Rattus norvegicus: one gene and its partners. The protein of the gene in region 2 interacts with the protein of the main gene of each other region in a pairwise test. Links are inferred from orthologs where the notes say so. Each region holds a gene or a part of one and is shown on either strand. Other genes may lie near its edges. The genes, in order: Atxn1, Sar1a and Slc38a7.

What was found.
Region 1: the proteins of Sar1a (region 2) and Atxn1 interact in binary tests that used the Homo sapiens proteins (3 or more experiments, as listed by UniProt). The link is inferred for Rattus norvegicus from reciprocal best matches to the Homo sapiens genes SAR1A and ATXN1.
Region 3: the proteins of Sar1a (region 2) and Slc38a7 interact in binary tests that used the Homo sapiens proteins (3 or more experiments, as listed by UniProt). The link is inferred for Rattus norvegicus from reciprocal best matches to the Homo sapiens genes SAR1A and SLC38A7.

What each region holds. Positions count from the first base shown.
Region 1 is NC_086035.1:18,941,860-18,948,044, reverse strand, and holds the start of Atxn1 (ataxin-1), read right to left. Parts: upstream 4,277-6,185; 5' UTR 4,084-4,276; intron 4,027-4,083; exon of another isoform or gene 3,873-4,026; intron 2,936-3,872; exon of another isoform or gene 2,794-2,935; intron 2,758-2,793; exon of another isoform or gene 2,556-2,757; intron 2,396-2,555; exon of another isoform or gene 1-2,395. UniProt on the Homo sapiens protein: Chromatin-binding factor that repress Notch signaling in the absence of Notch intracellular domain by acting as a CBF1 corepressor. Binds to the HEY promoter and might assist, along with NCOR2, RBPJ-mediated repression. Binds RNA in vitro.
Region 2 is NC_086038.1:30,175,289-30,180,337, reverse strand, and holds the end of Sar1a (GTP-binding protein SAR1a), read right to left. Parts: intron 3,628-5,049; coding exon 3,511-3,627; 3' UTR 1,620-3,510; downstream 1-1,619. UniProt on the Homo sapiens protein: Small GTPase that cycles between an active GTP-bound and an inactive GDP-bound state and mainly functions in vesicle-mediated endoplasmic reticulum (ER) to Golgi transport.
Region 3 is NC_086037.1:9,226,850-9,231,713, reverse strand, and holds the end of Slc38a7 (sodium-coupled neutral amino acid transporter 7), read right to left. Parts: intron 4,729-4,864; coding exon 4,581-4,728; intron 4,130-4,580; coding exon 3,930-4,129; intron 2,791-3,929; coding exon 2,736-2,790; intron 1,797-2,735; coding exon 1,694-1,796; 3' UTR 1,389-1,693; downstream 1-1,388. UniProt on the Homo sapiens protein: Symporter that selectively cotransports sodium ions and amino acids, such as L-glutamine and L-asparagine from the lysosome into the cytoplasm and may participates in mTORC1 activation. The transport activity requires an acidic lysosomal lumen.

The DNA of each region.
Region 1 (6,185 bases), on a different chromosome or scaffold from region 2:
AAAGCTGTTCTCTATCTGTTGCAGAATAGAATCGAGGCCCTCCAAGGTGTGTATAAAACTTAAAACGTCTGTCTTCTTAGTTTAGATCCTGGTTTCACATGAACTTACCTCTCAGAAATAATAGCTTGTTTTAACCACAATGATACCTTACTGGAACAGGCCACAATAACGTACCCACCACATAAACTCAGTAACCAGGGGAAACTCATAAACCCCCTGGGAGGAAAATTGGGCAACTTTTTCAGTCTTGGCACTAGAGAGGTGAGAGATTCATGTTTGTGGGAGAGGTGTTTCTCTAGTTGTCTTTCCCTCTCTTCTCGTTTAACCAATTTAGCTGCTTGGCCTTAAAACTATAAACTGACGGGCAGGGTCACAACTAAATCATGTCACATTCAAAGTTCCTAAAACATTCCCCTTCATCTGGACTGTCTGAACACTGTTGGGCTCCAGCAACTAAAGCTGCCATTTTGTTATCTCTTCGGTCATAATATAATCTTTCTGGCCTCAGTAGGCTTAAGGTAGTGCCCAAATGTAAACACTGGACTGCAGTGCTCTAGATGTTCATTAAATTATACCCTAAGGTACTGTACAAACTGTTTACTGTGCAAAGTTCTGTGCATTAAGCTGGCTTGTATCCTCTCTAACTTAGCTGCAAAAACAAAACAAAAAAAAACAAAAACAAAAACAAAAAAAACTTTCAATTACTTCTGAAGATCATCAAAGGTCAGGAGCAACAGATCCAAATTAAGGAAGATAATATTCAGAATGCCTGCCTACTGTCAGTATCCATTTTTTATAATGGAGACCGTCAAGTTTTAAAACGTAACAGTGGGGATAGGCTTTCCAAATAAACCATCTCCTTTCCGTAAACCATCTAGAAAGCCAGCCAGCACTGTCAGCAATTTTGACTATAAAGCAGGGGTTGTGCTCTTCTCTCACACTTGAAAGGGTTAAGTGCCTGCAAGGCCAAAGGCTCTAGACTGCAAAAGAAATGTTGCTTTAGTCAGCTCTGAAAGGTTTCTAGCAAGTATCAAATACTTGTTGATCTGCTCACAATAAACACCAGCAGGATTGTCCGGCTCCTTTCTCTGTCTGGGGAGAGGCATTTACATATTGTACCCAGTAGGAACAGCGTGTTGGTTTCCTTTAGAAAAGCTAAGTAGCTAGGAGCCTCATTCAGTGTCTCCCGTTCAGATGACTTGAAAGAAGATGCAATTGAAACAGTGAAGTCTCTCCCCTCGGATTCGGGCAGTTCAAATACCGTGCATAAAACACTTGGAGTAGTTCAGGCAAACCCACCTGAATGGGCCAAGGAACACTGTCTGTTGCCATGGCAGCCTGATCTAATTACATGAGTGATCTGGGCTGGAGTAAGTGTACAGAAAACTAACACCACAGACAGTATCTATGATGAGAGAGGCAGGCGGGCAGGAGGTTTCTCAGCCTCGGCTTTATGTGGAAGGTGGCATTCAAGCCCACTTATTTGCAAAGCTGCTAAAATATTGACTGATGCGTGGCCAGTTAGAGGACAATCAGAGGAGATTAAATGCCACAGTTAAGCTGTTATGGTGCAATCCCTTTCCAAGAGGGCTTGTGCATGTTTTTCCTCTCTCTGGTGGCTACCTCTAGCTTCCGCTGGCATAAGCTTCATTCAAAAATAAAATAAAAATAAAAATAAAACCCTCGGCTATCAAACTGTCTCAGCTACCCACCCACCATCAATAAACCAGAGGTTTAGGCTTAACGAGGGCTTCTAGGAATGACAGGGCTCTTCAAAAAGCCACACAGAAATGGTTTAGCAAACACTCTTGCAAAAAGTAACCAGCTGTACCTAAAAATACCCAGCCTGTAACTACCTTGTTGCCTACGATCTATAGCAATGCTGTTTAAATATTAAGAAGAGCTCGCATTATAAAACAGAAATGTCACTGAGATGACACCACTAGATTGCTACAGGGAAACATAGGACATACACACATTCCCCTGCATGCCAGGCAGGATGTGAGGTGAGAGCTCTAAAGCATTACTTTTTCTTCTGTAGGTGGTGTGGGGTCTTCTAATTTTACTAATTGTATCCTGTGACTCTCTCTCTGACAAACTAAGAAATCTCTTCGGGGACAGAACCAGTTTGGAGGAGTTCCTACTGCACAACATACGGTAAACAAAATAAAAATAGCTTGCCTTTCTTGTTAGCCACATAGCGCATTATATAACCAGCTTCCGACTGGCTCTTTTTTTTTCCGCCCTTACTACTCTTCAACAATTTCCCAACCTTCCCAAGTATTTATATTACCCTCTTATCTGTAGGATTATACAGCAAGAAAGCAAAAACAAAACAGGACAGCCACGGGATCGAACTAAACCCTTTCGTCTTAGAACCCTGATTCTCCCACCCCGCCCCCCACCCCCACCCGGCGCCCCTGGTAGAGTCTAGACCAGCACCCTACTTCCACCCCCCACCACTAAGGTCCTTGCTCAATCTCTCTAGAAAACCTGAATTGTTTCACCGCTTGCAGTCAGCTCTCTACGTGGTCTGAAATAAAATGAAAGCTCACAAGCCACAGAGTTGAAGGAGGTGGCTAAAGAGAGGTCGAAGGGCTGCAGAGTCAGCTAAGGGACCACTGTGGACCCCACTCCCCATCGCGATGGTCCTGGCCCCCCGCCCGGCGCGCGAACACACGCGCACGCACACACACACACACACACACACACACACACACACACACACACACACACACACACGCACCTACACACTCACACGCACTTACTCCCTGCTCTCCGACCCCGCCTCACCTCTCGCTCCGCCCGTCCGGCCCCTTCCCTACCCCCTGCGGGACTGGCCTGCGCGCTCGGCTGCAACCACGTAGGAGGCGGCGGCGGCGGCGGCAGCCCGGGCAGTGGCGGCGTCTCGGGCCCCGAGTGAACGAGCCGCGGGGCTCCGGGGCACATCCCAATCCCCGCAGCGCCTCCTCCGCCGCCGCCTCCTCCTTCCCCTCCTCCCGTCTTCATTCACCCTCCCTGCCGCCGCGCAGGAGAGCAGTCCCGGCGCAGGGCAGCGCCCGCAGCTCCTCCGCTACTGCCGCGGGCGCCGGCAGGGACGCCGGGCCGAGCTGGGGCGCTCGCGGGCTCCCGGCTCCCGGCTCCCGGCTCCAGCTCCGGTGGCGGCGGCTGCCGCTGCTGCTGCTGCTGCTTTGGATCAGGAAGCGGCCGCACCAACAGGGCGGCGGTGGCGGCTGCAGCTAGGGCCGGTCCCTGTCGCCTCTCCCACTGCGCTGCGATGGCCCGCGTGCCCTTGCCCCCTGAGCCGCCACCTCTCCGCGCCCCCGAGCCTCCTGCAAGTCCCCTCTAGGTCCCCTCCTGGCCCCGAGACGCTGGCCTGGGCGGGGAGACCCCAAGCTCGGGGTTGCCTCTCTCAAGCTAGGCGACCCCGGGCGGGGAAGCCCAGCCCTCCCTCGAGCCCCCGCAGCGCTCGCCGCCCCCACTCGGGAGGGGGGCTGTTGAGGAGTGAAGAGGGCAGCGCGACCCTCCGCGGCTGCCGCCTCCCCCTACGCCACACGGAAGGAGGAGGACGGGGCTCTATGCGCTCGCCGCCGCCGGACCAGCAGCAGCCGGAGCGGGGCGCCGCCGTTCTCCCCACCCGCGCCCCCCGCCCGGGCGCGCCCCCTCTCCTGGCGGCCGCCCACCCAGCCCCTAGCTGCTCCCCTTGCTAGCCGCTCCTGCTCCCAGTGGGGGTCCCGAGCCGGGAGGCAGGAGCCGGGCACTGGTGTATGTACACAGTCACACATACACTCGCGCGCGCCTGCACACACACCACACACACACACACACACACACACACACACACACACACACACACACACACACACACACACCACGACGCGTCGGTTTCCTTCGCTCCTCTTCCAGCTGTTTTCCGTGCAGCCCATTGAGACTGGGGGAGGGGGGTTTTATGCTGGATGTTTCTTTGGCCCCCTCTCCGGAGAGAGCGGATTGGGGTGCGGGAGGAGGTGATTTTAATCTAAATCGGGGGGAGGGGGAGGGGGGAGAGAAAGAATCAGAGGAGGAAAAAAAATAGCCACTTACTGTAAAGTGTAAATGGATCTGGGGTTGCGTGGGGAAGGGGGAACAGAGGGAGAGACACAGTGTCCTGCGGCTGTTGTAGCTCTAGCTGCGGCTCCACGGGGCTTGTTTTGGATCCCCCTGCAGTGAAACAGGTCCTGTACGGCTCCTCCACTGTAGTAGAAATGATGTCTGCGGTATACTCTGCTCTCTCCTCCTCCTCCTCCTCCCCCCTCCCCTCCCTCCTCCCTCCGCCCGCCCTCCCTCCCTCGCGCTCTCTCTCGCGCTCGCTCGCTCGCTCCAGTATGTAAATGTGTAATAGAAGCCAAATATGGAGCAGTTGGCTGCCGCCGCCGCAGCTCAAGGATCCGACTTCATGGGGGGGGGGGGGGGGAGAGGCACCCTCTGGCAGGCGGCCCGGCGAGCCGCACAGAGCACGGCGAGCGCACGGCGCGGCTGCCGGCCCGCGCCCTTAACCCTTCTATGCACCCGGGCTGGGGCAGCGCTCGCTCCAGGGGAGGCCGGGTGTCTCTCCGCAACTGCGACTCCAGATCCCGGACACCGACCGGAGGGAACTGTGCCTTCCAGGTTTGAGAAAGGGGCGGGGAAGTTGGGGCGATGAGGTCATTGGAGTGGTGACCGATCGGTGCTCGCGCGCCTCCCCGGCTCCCTGCAACCTAGTTGGAGGGGGACAGGGTGAGTGCAGGGTGCAACTCAGGCAACCTGGGAGACTCAGAGCAACGGGTGTCAGGCTTTGACTCCCACCTGGTAAAATACCCAAGGGGGCGGGGAAGTCGGCTGATTCTAATTACGAAGCACCCAGGGTGCCCCTGGTGAGCATCTAAGAGGACTCTTTGTATCCCCGCGGTTAACTAGCCAGCCCGCCAGTCCTGAGCCACCCGATGCTAGGCCGGTGCCTTCTGCCTTGGCTTGCAACTCCGGAAAGTTCTCAGGCTTCCCCAGCTTGCACCGGCACCCTCACCTTTCCTGCCTGGACAAGCTGGCGACCTCCTGGGCCTCCTTTCAAATTCTGCTGGTCTAGAAATCTGCTATGAGCATCGAACGTCTCAGCTCTAGCCCTGGTAACCGAACTGCTGCTCACTCCTCACAGCTAACTGTGGACCATTCATCTCATCTCAAGTGAGGTAACCCGTGCACTGAGCAGTGGATGGTGGTTCTCGGGAATCCAAGGCGAAAGAACTTCCCACCTTGGCCCGGTGGCTAAACGCAGACGCGGAGTCCCCACCCGCCCCCTCCGGCTACACCTCAGCCGGGTGTGAGCTCCGTGGGAAGGAATCTTCTCCGGAGGAGTGCACCTTGCCAACAGGTGTGGCATCCGAAGGAAGAGCCCGCACCTCCCCAGGAGGGTCGCTCGGTGTGGCGATCTCTTTGCTGCAGATAATTCTTGAAGACCAGTAGGTGTCAGGCCAGCATCTGACCTCTTTCAGGTGCTTAAAACTAAGAGTCTGGAAACTTGATCCCTTGGTCTCGCTGGAAGCCACTACTATTGACTGTAGCTGGATTTGAGAGACCTTTTGGCTCAGTTTACGTAGGACCTAACAGTTAGTCACTATCTGAAGCAGCGTACAGAGTCACCGAGAGAAACGTGTGAGCTTTTAAACTACTGTATTGTGGAGCCCGCACTTCAGAAGTTAAAAAAGAAATGCCGTGTGTGTGTGTGTGTGTGTGTGTGTGTGTGTGTGTGTGTGTGTGTGTGTGTGTGTGTAGGATACAAATCTATTCTCAGGTTTTGAAACACCGTGCACACATCCACGGTTGTTTAAATAGAACTACAACTGTTCTCTTCCCCCTCCCCGCCCCCACCGCCCCTCTCCCCCGTAACTGTGTTGTTCACTTAAAGATCCATGATTGTTAGACTTCATATGCTAAAGTGACATTACTGGTCTCCTTACAGCCTCTAGTGGACGGTTAAAGTGAGTTTCCTGTGGAGGCTCTGTCTAGTTTTGTTTTCCCTTCTGCACTTTCTCCAGGTGAAGGTTAATAGTTCAGAGCTTAACTGACTGCTATCTTTCACTCCCTCTTGGTAAAGCTGTCTTTGAAACTGAACAGAAGCTTGTTGGCTGCGTGTGGAAGAGAGGCGTCTGCTTTGTGCTACAGGTATTGTT
Region 2 (5,049 bases):
ATCGAACTTTGGCAACCCTTCTGCCTACAGCCTCCCTAGAGTCCAAGGGTTACAGTTTTACTTTACCCATGGGTAAAATTATTTAACCATGTATACTTCCAAGCATGCGTATTTCACATGACATTTCTAACCACTCAGGATTTATATTAGATCGGGAGTAAATACTTAGAAAAGTCTAGATTGGAATAGTTCAGGTTTTGTGGGCAATAAAATCTTCACCTCCAAATACTCAGCATATACCCCAGTCTCATAAACTTGAGTTTCATACACAACTCCTATCTCAAAATTGTGCTCCTCCACCATTTACAAGTGTAAAAAATCAAGACTAGAGAGGAGGGCTCAACAGTTATGAGCTGTTCCTGCTTTTACCGTGGACCCTAGTTTGGTTCCTAGTACCACATGGTACCTTACAGTTGATTGTAATTACAGCTCCAGGATACCTAATACTGTCTTCTGGCATCTGCTGACTCATGACTCAGGCAGGCAAACACACATACACTTAGATACTATAAAGGAGGTCCTCACTTTCCAAATTATGTCCGACAGGTGAGCAATAACAGGTATGTTTGGAGAAACTTCATAAACCTCCCCAAAGTATGCTTTGAATCACTAAAATAGGTATTAACAGTGAGATTTCTAGCATACTGTGAAAAAAAACCCATTTGTTTTGTTTCATAACTTCTCGTAATGAAATTAACACTGGTGTTGCTTTCCCAGCCATCACACCTATTGCTTCCAGTGCTCCTGTGTCACAAACCTACCTGAAAAGGGAAAACAGTGGCTGGAGGTGGGGGAGGGAGGCAGGGGGCAGAAATAAAGTGGCCTTCTCAGAGCAGGCAGTCCTGGTTTGCAGACACAGATGACCACAAAGTCTACCTTCCCCAACTTCCTGGCAATTAAGACTCTAGAATCCAATAATTGTCCCTTGATGCCCTTCAAGCCTCCAGTCCTGTTCCTTATCAAGTTATCTGTTTAGGGCTGGTCACAGTATAGATATCCCAAGTCAGCCATCAGCATCTAATGTTAAAGCCCTCAGAACTAGACTCTGACTCTCGGGTCCCTCTGTCCCCAGCAAACACTCTTTGCCCACAGAACCAGTCTCCTTCCCCTGTAAAGGTGACCTCAGGGCACATCCAGCATGTTGTGTTTTGGATTTTGTTCTGTCTTCTGGTGCTTTTTTTTTTCCCCAGAGCTGAGGACTGAACCCAGGGCCTTGCACTTGCTAGGCAAGTGCTCTACCACTGAGCTGAATCCCCAACCTCTGGTGCTTTCTATAAGCAACAATAATGTAAATGTGAAATCAGACTTCTGTTTTGCCAAGTATGGCTCACTCGGGATATTGGATGATTCTGCTAGCTAGTATGTGCAAGCAGTCATTAGCACTGTTGCAAAGATGACCAAAAACCTCAGGCATGATCCAAGATGCTCAAACAGTACTGCATTTGCTATTAGTTCCCAGCCGTTTTCCCTTTGCCTTTTATCCGGGTAGCAATTCAAGACTCACAGTCTCTGCAAATGTTCCTCCCTGTATGTAAGGGAGAATTTTTGTTTTTCTTCCCAGCATTTTGTATTCACTCAGAGCAAATCAGTGGAAAAAAAAAAAAAAAAAAAGAGGCAAGTTCATTTTAGCTTTTTATTAAAATGCTTAGGATACAGACTGACCTTCTTTTGTAAATGACAGTTTTACGTTTGCTGAAACAGGACACGTGCACTCTGATAAACAGAATGAAGTCTCAGTTCATTGGAGCCCCTGGTCAAGGCCCTGGCCCTCAGGTGGAGTTGCACTCACTGCAGCAACCTCTTGGCCAGTTTATGGAAGATGGTGCTCTGTGCAGCATGAAGCAGACTGGTGCCACTTTTCAGCCATCTCTTTCTCCAGTGGCTAGAATAAACCACTTTCACAAAGAGCCACCCTGGACAGGGTCCATCCAGTCTTCTAGGTTGTTTCCGAGCAATTAGGGACAAACGAGAAAGACAAATGAGGAACCCAACACCGAGGCCATCACACCTGTCATGTGCCTGGACAGACATGTGGACAGTCTTTAGCCAAGGCAATGAAGGGCACACCCTACCTACCCAGCTCACTCAAGGCTTTAACAAAGGCCCCTCCGCACTGACAGTTCTCATTCCAGCTGTCCGTCGGTGAAGGCAACACATGCAGTTTGCAGACAGACACCCCACCGAGCCTCTGCATTGGGGACCTGGCAGTGTAACAGAACACTGTCCCATGAACTCAGTGCTCAAAACTAAAACGTGATAAGTCACTCCCCGGTGTGCTCCTACCTTCTCTACCCTCACGCTGGACATGAGTCTGACAGAAAACAGCAGCAGCATAATTTCCACTTACGAACGTACTCACACGGTGCATTAGAGGAAATCAGAATCAAGACACCCTCCTGTCTGCAGACCGTCTCATCCACTCCACGGGTACAATACAAAGTTAACATCAGGAAAATTCAACCTCACACACAGCAGCAAGACAAGCAAATGCTATATATAAAAGTCCTGTTCATGGTCCTCACAGCCGCTGCTGCCCCCACACTAGCACTCGCTGCTGCCAGGCCACCTGGGTTTGCTCTGTTATTTCTGAAGAAAACACAAGAGCCCCTCAGAGTTTTTCCTAGGTTCCCTCATTGCTTCCAGATCAGATGGGTAGCATCTCACAGAATCTAGAGCCTTAAGCTGCTGATTTTGCCCTGCATCCTGTTCAGAACCGTCCCTCTAGCGTATGTTCAAAAGCATCAGAGTCACACCCCCAGCACAGGGTCTACATGAGAGATGTCCTTAATTCCCTCATGAGGCAAAAGTCACTTCTTATATCTACAGTGAAAAAAGGAAGGTGCTACACAGAGAGATGAAATTCCACAACAGTATAAAAGCAAAGCCTGCTGAAACCGGTAACTGCAAATGAAGTTGACAACGTGATCATGACACTTTACCCACTCCAGATGATGGTGGAGACCATGGCGGGTAAGCCAAGGCTGTCCTCTCCCCGCCTGTGCTCAGGCACCACCTTCAACAGGCAGTCACACAGCGAAGCTCTGGCCTCCATCGCGCTATCTGTTCATAATTTTATGAAATATCTAAATTTCATTTACTAGTTTAAAAAAAAAAAAAGAATAGAAAATCTGGACCAAGTAAATTGTGAACTCAAAAAGTTAGAGAAGGGATACCAATTACATTAACAACACTTTCTTTAAAAAATAGAATCACTTTCTTTTGAAATCAACCAGTGGTGAGACATGTTTTTCTTCTCGGGTGTCCCATGATGGCACCCAGCTTTCCCTGGCAAATGCTGCCAGCCCCGTCCCGGCACACTGCCCGGCAGCAGCCGCAGGCAGTGTGGAGAAGAGCACATGTCACCACTGGGCAATGAGCGTAGACAGATGCGTGGCTTCTCAATGCCATACATGGTTGGAGAGCTTTCCTTGTTCTATTAGAAAAGTCCATGAGGAAGCTGTGAATAGGATCAGTCCAGAAGTAAAACTCTTTATTTTCACTGTCCAAACATCAGTCAATATACTGGGAAAGCCAGCGGAAACCCTCGCCGTAGCCTTGCCTCTTGAGCACACTGCACATGAACACTTCCATGGGGCGGGCGTTCAGCTCCTTCAGAGTCACATTCCCCTAAGGGAGGCAAAACCCAGAAAGGTCTGTCAGGACCTCCATATTCAGTAGCACAAACCCACACAGACCTGAGCTCTGATCTCCAGCACCACAGAGGAAGCCAGGCACGATGGCCCACACCCGAACTTCCAGTGCTGAGAGTAGAGACAGGTGGATGCCTGAAGCTCTCAGGTCAGTCAACTTAGCCCAATAAATGAGTGCCAGAGCTGACCTCGGGCCTCTGCATACATGAACAAGTATGTACATACACACTAAGTACCTGGCTTTATTTCTGTATTTTCTCTCTCATCAGCCTGCCTTTCTAGACCAGAGCCTCCCTGGTCTAGATATAGTATAGACAGCTGGGCACACTGATATAGGATATCCCACTTCTATTCTGCTTTTATTATACTTTGCCATGCAGTCCTGAACAAAGTACTGTTCCTTCATTTGCAAAATAAAATTAAAGAGTTTCACTTCTATCAGCAAGAGGCACTAGGATAACCAAATGCTTTTATCGTAATACCTGAAAAAGCATATATAATACTTTTTAGGGCTGGAGAGATGGCTCAGCGGTTAAGAGCGCTGACTGCTCTTCTAGAGGTCCTGAGTGAGTTCAATTCCCAGCAACCACATGGTGGCTCACAACCATCTGTAATGGGATCCAATGCCCCCTTCTGGTATGTCTGAAGATAGCTACAGTGTACTTATATATAATAAATAAATCTTTAAATGTATATATGGATGTCTGTGGCAATGTACAGGAGAATGCAGTGCTCGTGGAGGCCGTGGGCATCCCTGGAGCTGGAGTTACAAGTGGTTGGGAGCTGCCCAATATGGATGCTAAGAACCAAGCCACCTCCTCAGCCCCAGAAACTTCTTTAAGTGGATTGAAGTCAGATACGCTGGCACTTGCCTTCAATCCCAGCACTGAGGAGGCAGAGACCAGCATATCTCTGAGTCTGAGGCCAGTCTGGTCTACACAGACCTTGTCTCAAAAAATAAGTAAATACTAGCATCACATGGTGGCTAAGAAGCATCTGTCAAACACCAATGCCAGGGTGAGCAGCACCACCCCGACACCATGGGCATCGCAGTATGCATGGTACACAGTCACACGCAAGCGAACACACAGACATAAAAAATATTGAAAGAAGACTGCCTTTTGTAACACACCTTCATTTACTGGATACAGAAGACAGATAAAGAGGGCAGGCGTATGGCTGAGGAGTACAGTAATTACTTAGCACAAAGGCCTGCGCTCAAGGCTTTCTTTGTATCACTGGGAAGGAAAGAAGAAGAAAGGAAGAGAGGAAGGAGGAAGGAAATGGCTAAGGAAACACCCGAGAAAACACTCACACTCAAGAAGAGATACTGTCGGGGCTGGGGATTTAGCTCAGTGGTAGAGCGCTCGCCTAGCATGCGCAAGGCCCTGAGTTCGGT
Region 3 (4,864 bases), on a different chromosome or scaffold from region 2:
CCTCCTGAAGATCTAGCTTTGGCAAAAGTCTGCTGGTGTCCATTCCTGGTTATGGACAGTCAAGTGTCACCTACACATTTACGGCCTAGACTCTGTCCCAAACACAAGATAAAGGAGACAGTTCAGCAGTGTAAGCCCCTTTATTAACCATCCTTACTTCTCCAAGTGTGCTTGAGTAGAAAAGAACCAGCAAGAAACTGGAAACAGAGGGCAAAGGAGAGGGAGGAAGGGGGTCCTGAGGTCAAGCAGAAGCTGGGTTCTAGCCAACTGTCCCAGCTAGCCAGTCTCTGTGCCACGTCTAGCTTTATGATTGGCCACCATGAAAGGCAGCTTTGGAGGCTGGGGGAAAACAGTATAGTGGGACCAGAAAGAATGGGTACTGGGGATGGATGGGAAAGGAATAATCCAGCAGGACTGGACACTGAGCCTCCTGCCTCCACAGGACTGACCTGAGTTGGGGATGGGGGTGGGGTCGTCTTCTGGGAAGGGTCCCTTTTGCTCCTAGGATGTGTTTTACACAGAATAGATTTAGAAAGACCAATTCTGGACCTGGGACTTACAAAAGTGAGCAGGGGTAGGTTCGAGGCTAAGGCAGTCAAAATAGAGAAGTATCTAAGCTGGCCTCACCTGAGGTGGGTGTGACTCAGCGGGACTCCCAGGCACAGAGGCCAAACCTGACAGATGTGTGGAGCCAGGCAAGCCGGTGTGACAGGGTCTGGTGCCACACCCTCTCCCGTCAAATAACAAGACCCATGCATGAAGAGGTAGGGCTGGGGGAGAGGGATGGGAGTGTGGGACTGGGGGAGATGGAGAGTTAAGGAGGACATCCAGGGTCCCCAGTCTAACTGGGTCCTGGGGCTGGGTTTAGCGGGAAGAGAGAGAAGACAAGGCGTGGAGGAGCTGGAACCTTGCCTGGACCTTGGCAAGCCCAGCCTGGAAGGATGGTCTAAAAGGTCCTACCCTGAACTTCTGAAAAGACGGGCCTATCTGGAATCTGAAAGACAACAGACCGTCTGCCCATGCCAAAAGCTAACGGAGGAGTGCTCACAGCACCACGGCATGGCAGCCCCCAGCCTCAGAGCCAGGCTGGCACCGTTTGTAAACATTAGACTCGGTGATGTCTGGGAACACAGTAGAAGCATACCAGTACAACATGGACCGTTAGGACTGGACAAAGTTAGGGTAGGGACCCTAAAGACTTGGGAGGCTACCAGAGACTCAGGGGACATTTCTATGATGTTGGCATCTCCTTTGGAAGTTGCCAGGTCCCAGGAGACGCTGCCAGTGGCTTCTGAGAGACATGGGCAGGCACTAAGCCCCGAGGTACTGAGCACAGTCCTGACACACTCTGTGTGGAGGCCAGCCCTGTGCATATATGCTTTCTGTTCTTTTTTTTTCCAGAGGGAAGTCAGAATAGGCTCTCTCTTCTGAGACCCACTGACTCTCTCCATTCCCAAGTCCCAAAGGCTTGAAGTTGAGAGCTGGGTGAAGGGGACAGTCCTGTGCTATGGACCGCCATCAGGAAACAAGGCAGCTGGGCAGGATCTGTCCACAGATTTGCGGCTGATTGTCTTATGACTGTCCATGGGGAAGGTGTCCCCATGTCATCTCACTAGCCAGAACAGTACGTGGGACTTGGGCAGCTCCACAGCTCTGAGAGCTGCATCTGGTCACATGTTTGGGGAAGCAGTGTTCAGGCTAAGAGGTCCACAAAGACGGCATTGGCTGTGGTCTGGCCAAAGATGAAGGCTCCCAGGGTGACCAGAAGGACTCCATAACTGACCAGTGCCCACCAGCTGTAGGGCAGAGGACAAGAGAATGTTTCAGTCGTTTGGTTTTTTTTTTTTTTTCACATTTCTTCAGACTCATATATGTAACAGCCAATACAGTCAGTCACCTCACGTCTGCGGGCAAGGCACTTCGGGCTTCCCTAGGAATTTCCCACATAAAGGGATGTGACCCTACTTCACCATCAAGGAGACCGAGGCCTAGAGGGGTTCCTAGAGGGGCTAATGCTGAAAGGGACCACGGCAGTAGAATGCAAGTCTCCCAGTGGGAAGATACTCGGGGGGGAAAAAGCAGGGAATGAGGTGTTTCCCTCAAAGAGAAACAGTGCAGGGGCTGGAGAGATGGCTTGGTGGTTAAGGCTACATAGTGCCCTTCTAGGGGATCTCGTGTGTGTGTGTGTGTGTGTGTGTGTGTGTGTGTGTGTGTGTGTGTGTGTTTCTTACTATGTAGCTCTCTGGCTAGCCTGGTTCTCACTATGTAATGTAATGGCTTACTGCCATTGTCAGTTTGACTGAATTTGGAGTTGCCTAGGATGTGCCTATAAGAGTGTTTCCAGAGGGGTTTAACAGAGGAGGGGAGCCTCACCCTAACAGGGCCTGAACTACTTCAGGGGCTGAGGTCCTGGACTGACTGAGAAGAAATGATGGAGAAGGAAGGCCGAGAGCCACTGCCGCTGGTCCCTAACCTATGACACATGTCCACACTCCTCCCACCCCTGCCTCTGGGACCGGCTGTGCCCCCAAAGCACGAGTTGAAAACTTTGACTTTTAAGCTGTTTCACAGCACCAGGGACTCTGAACCCCTAACAACCTCCCCTTAGCCTCTGAGTGTGGAGACAACAGCAGCATGTGTCAATCCCCAGAATCCCCGAAAGTTCAAGTGTTCGGCTCTCTATTTGAAGGCCCCTCTTCGCCCCCTTGAAAGGCGCTGGGCCGGCCCTGCTTTACCTGGCCGGTTTGACCTCTTCCATTTCTGAGAGTTTGGCTTGGATGAGGCACAGCCCTAGAAGGAAAGATGCAATCCTGAGTTTGGGGGACTCAGGGATTCCCTCCCGAGGCCCAGCCTTCCCAGCCAAGAGGCAGCGTTGGTGATGGAGAAAGGCCTGTTTCTAATGAGTCTGATATCCTTGTCCTCTGCCTCAATCCTCGCCCAGCTGGCCGCCTGCCCTCTGCTCTCTCTTGATGGGCCAGCACAGTAGCTAAGAAGTACCCCTAAGGCTATATTCAGGACTCAGAGCTAAAGTAACACTGAGTAGGGACCCAGTAGTGCCTCACACCATCTGGCCTACTTCAGAGCAGGTATGGCTCCCTTGCTCCATGTCCAGTGGGATGGGCTTTGAGGAAGCTCCTGGACAGAAACAAACTGGATCCAGCAGAACTCATAGGCACACACACAAGGCGGGTTTCAGGGGGTCTGCAGCTGATCCTATGTCAGCTTAGGTCTCATGACTCCAACCTTAAGGTGCCACGGCCAGGCTTCCTTCCCTCTGGACTGGAATAAGCTAGTCAGAACTTGAGTCAAGAGTGCACACATTTGGGGTTGGGGATTTAGCTCAGCGGTAGAGCACTTGGCTAGCAAGCGCAAGGCCCTGGGTTCGGTCCCCAGCTCCCGGGAAAAAAAAAACAAACAAACAAAAAAACAAGAGTGCACACATTTGAATGAAGGGTTCAAACAGAGACCCTGGACCTGGGCCTACAGGGCTTCAAATGGGCCATCGAGCTTCTTATCTGCTGGTTTGAACTCTCAGCTTAGTGCTTCTCAACCTTCCTAATGCTGTGACCCTTTAATGCAGTTCCTTGTATTACCAATTAGCCAATTACAGAATCATTCTCGTCCCTTCATAACTGTAACTTTGCTACTGTTGTAAGTCACAATGTGACTTATTTGATATGCAGGATATTTAACCCTGTGAAAGGGTTGTTCAACTCCTGGGGTGAGGACCACTGCCCTGGCCTCTCATCGCCTCAGTAAATCAGAGATCACACCTTCTCTCTAGGAGCCAGAGCTGGGATGGCAGCACGGAGCTGAGCCTTGTCAGTGAGCAACAGAGACTACTGCTTATCCTGTCAGCCGGTTGAGCCCCTGGCTGAGGTGAGGTAGCTCCTGCTGTGTGGTAGCGATGGGGGCGCCTGGGTGTGTACCTGGGAAAATGAAGATGAAGCAGGCTGCCAGGCCTCCGATGACCGAGATGACCTTGCCAATGTCAGGGATAAAGAGTGCTAGTAGCAGGGTGAGTAGGAACCACACCAGCGTCTGCAGGACCCGGCGCCGGCGCTCTCGGCCCACGTCCTCCTCCACGGGCGTCCCCTTGTATCGCAGCCACAGGCCTTCCACCACAGCCCTGCTCACATGAGGAGGGGCTCAGGGTGCTTTGGGCAGTGCACGGGGACGAGATGCTGAGTGGGCAGTGTGGGGTCCCTGAGCCTGGGTCCTCATCTGTGACCAGCAGTGCCCTTGGTTGCTACGGGCTGCAGGTAAGTTTATGAAAGGCTTGGCCTCGTCATGTGAATACGGATGTCATTATTCCCCTTATAAAAGGAATAGTGTGGAGTATCCAAAAGGCCGTCTGGGTTCATATAAAAGCTCAGAAAAGGATCTGGCCTGGAGATCCTTACAAGGGCTTACAGAATGTGCTGGAACCAACAGGTCTGGCAATGAGTATGGGAGAGGGCATCCTGGACACATTCTTTTCTGTGGGCTTCAGTTTTCCTTGCCACAAAATAGGTTCCACATAAGACCATGTATCGTGCTAGCTCCCGGGGGGCTCTGGACAGGGTGGGGAAGGGGCTCACCGCCCACAGAAGTGTAGGATGGGATAGGAGGTGAGGACGCTCAGGATGATGAAGGCTCGGGCAACAGCCACAGCCACGTCCTCTGAGGGGTAGGACCGGAGCACGTCAGGATCCACGGCAGCTCCAAAAGTCAGGAAGCCGCAGATGCCTGTGGATGAGGACCAGGGGCGGGGTGAGGACAACCATGGGAGAGTAAGGGGTAGACCATCTAATCTTGCTAGGAGCAACATCACTCAAGAGAGAATGCTGCAGCAGCTTGGGGAGTGAGGCCGGGGCCTCAGAAA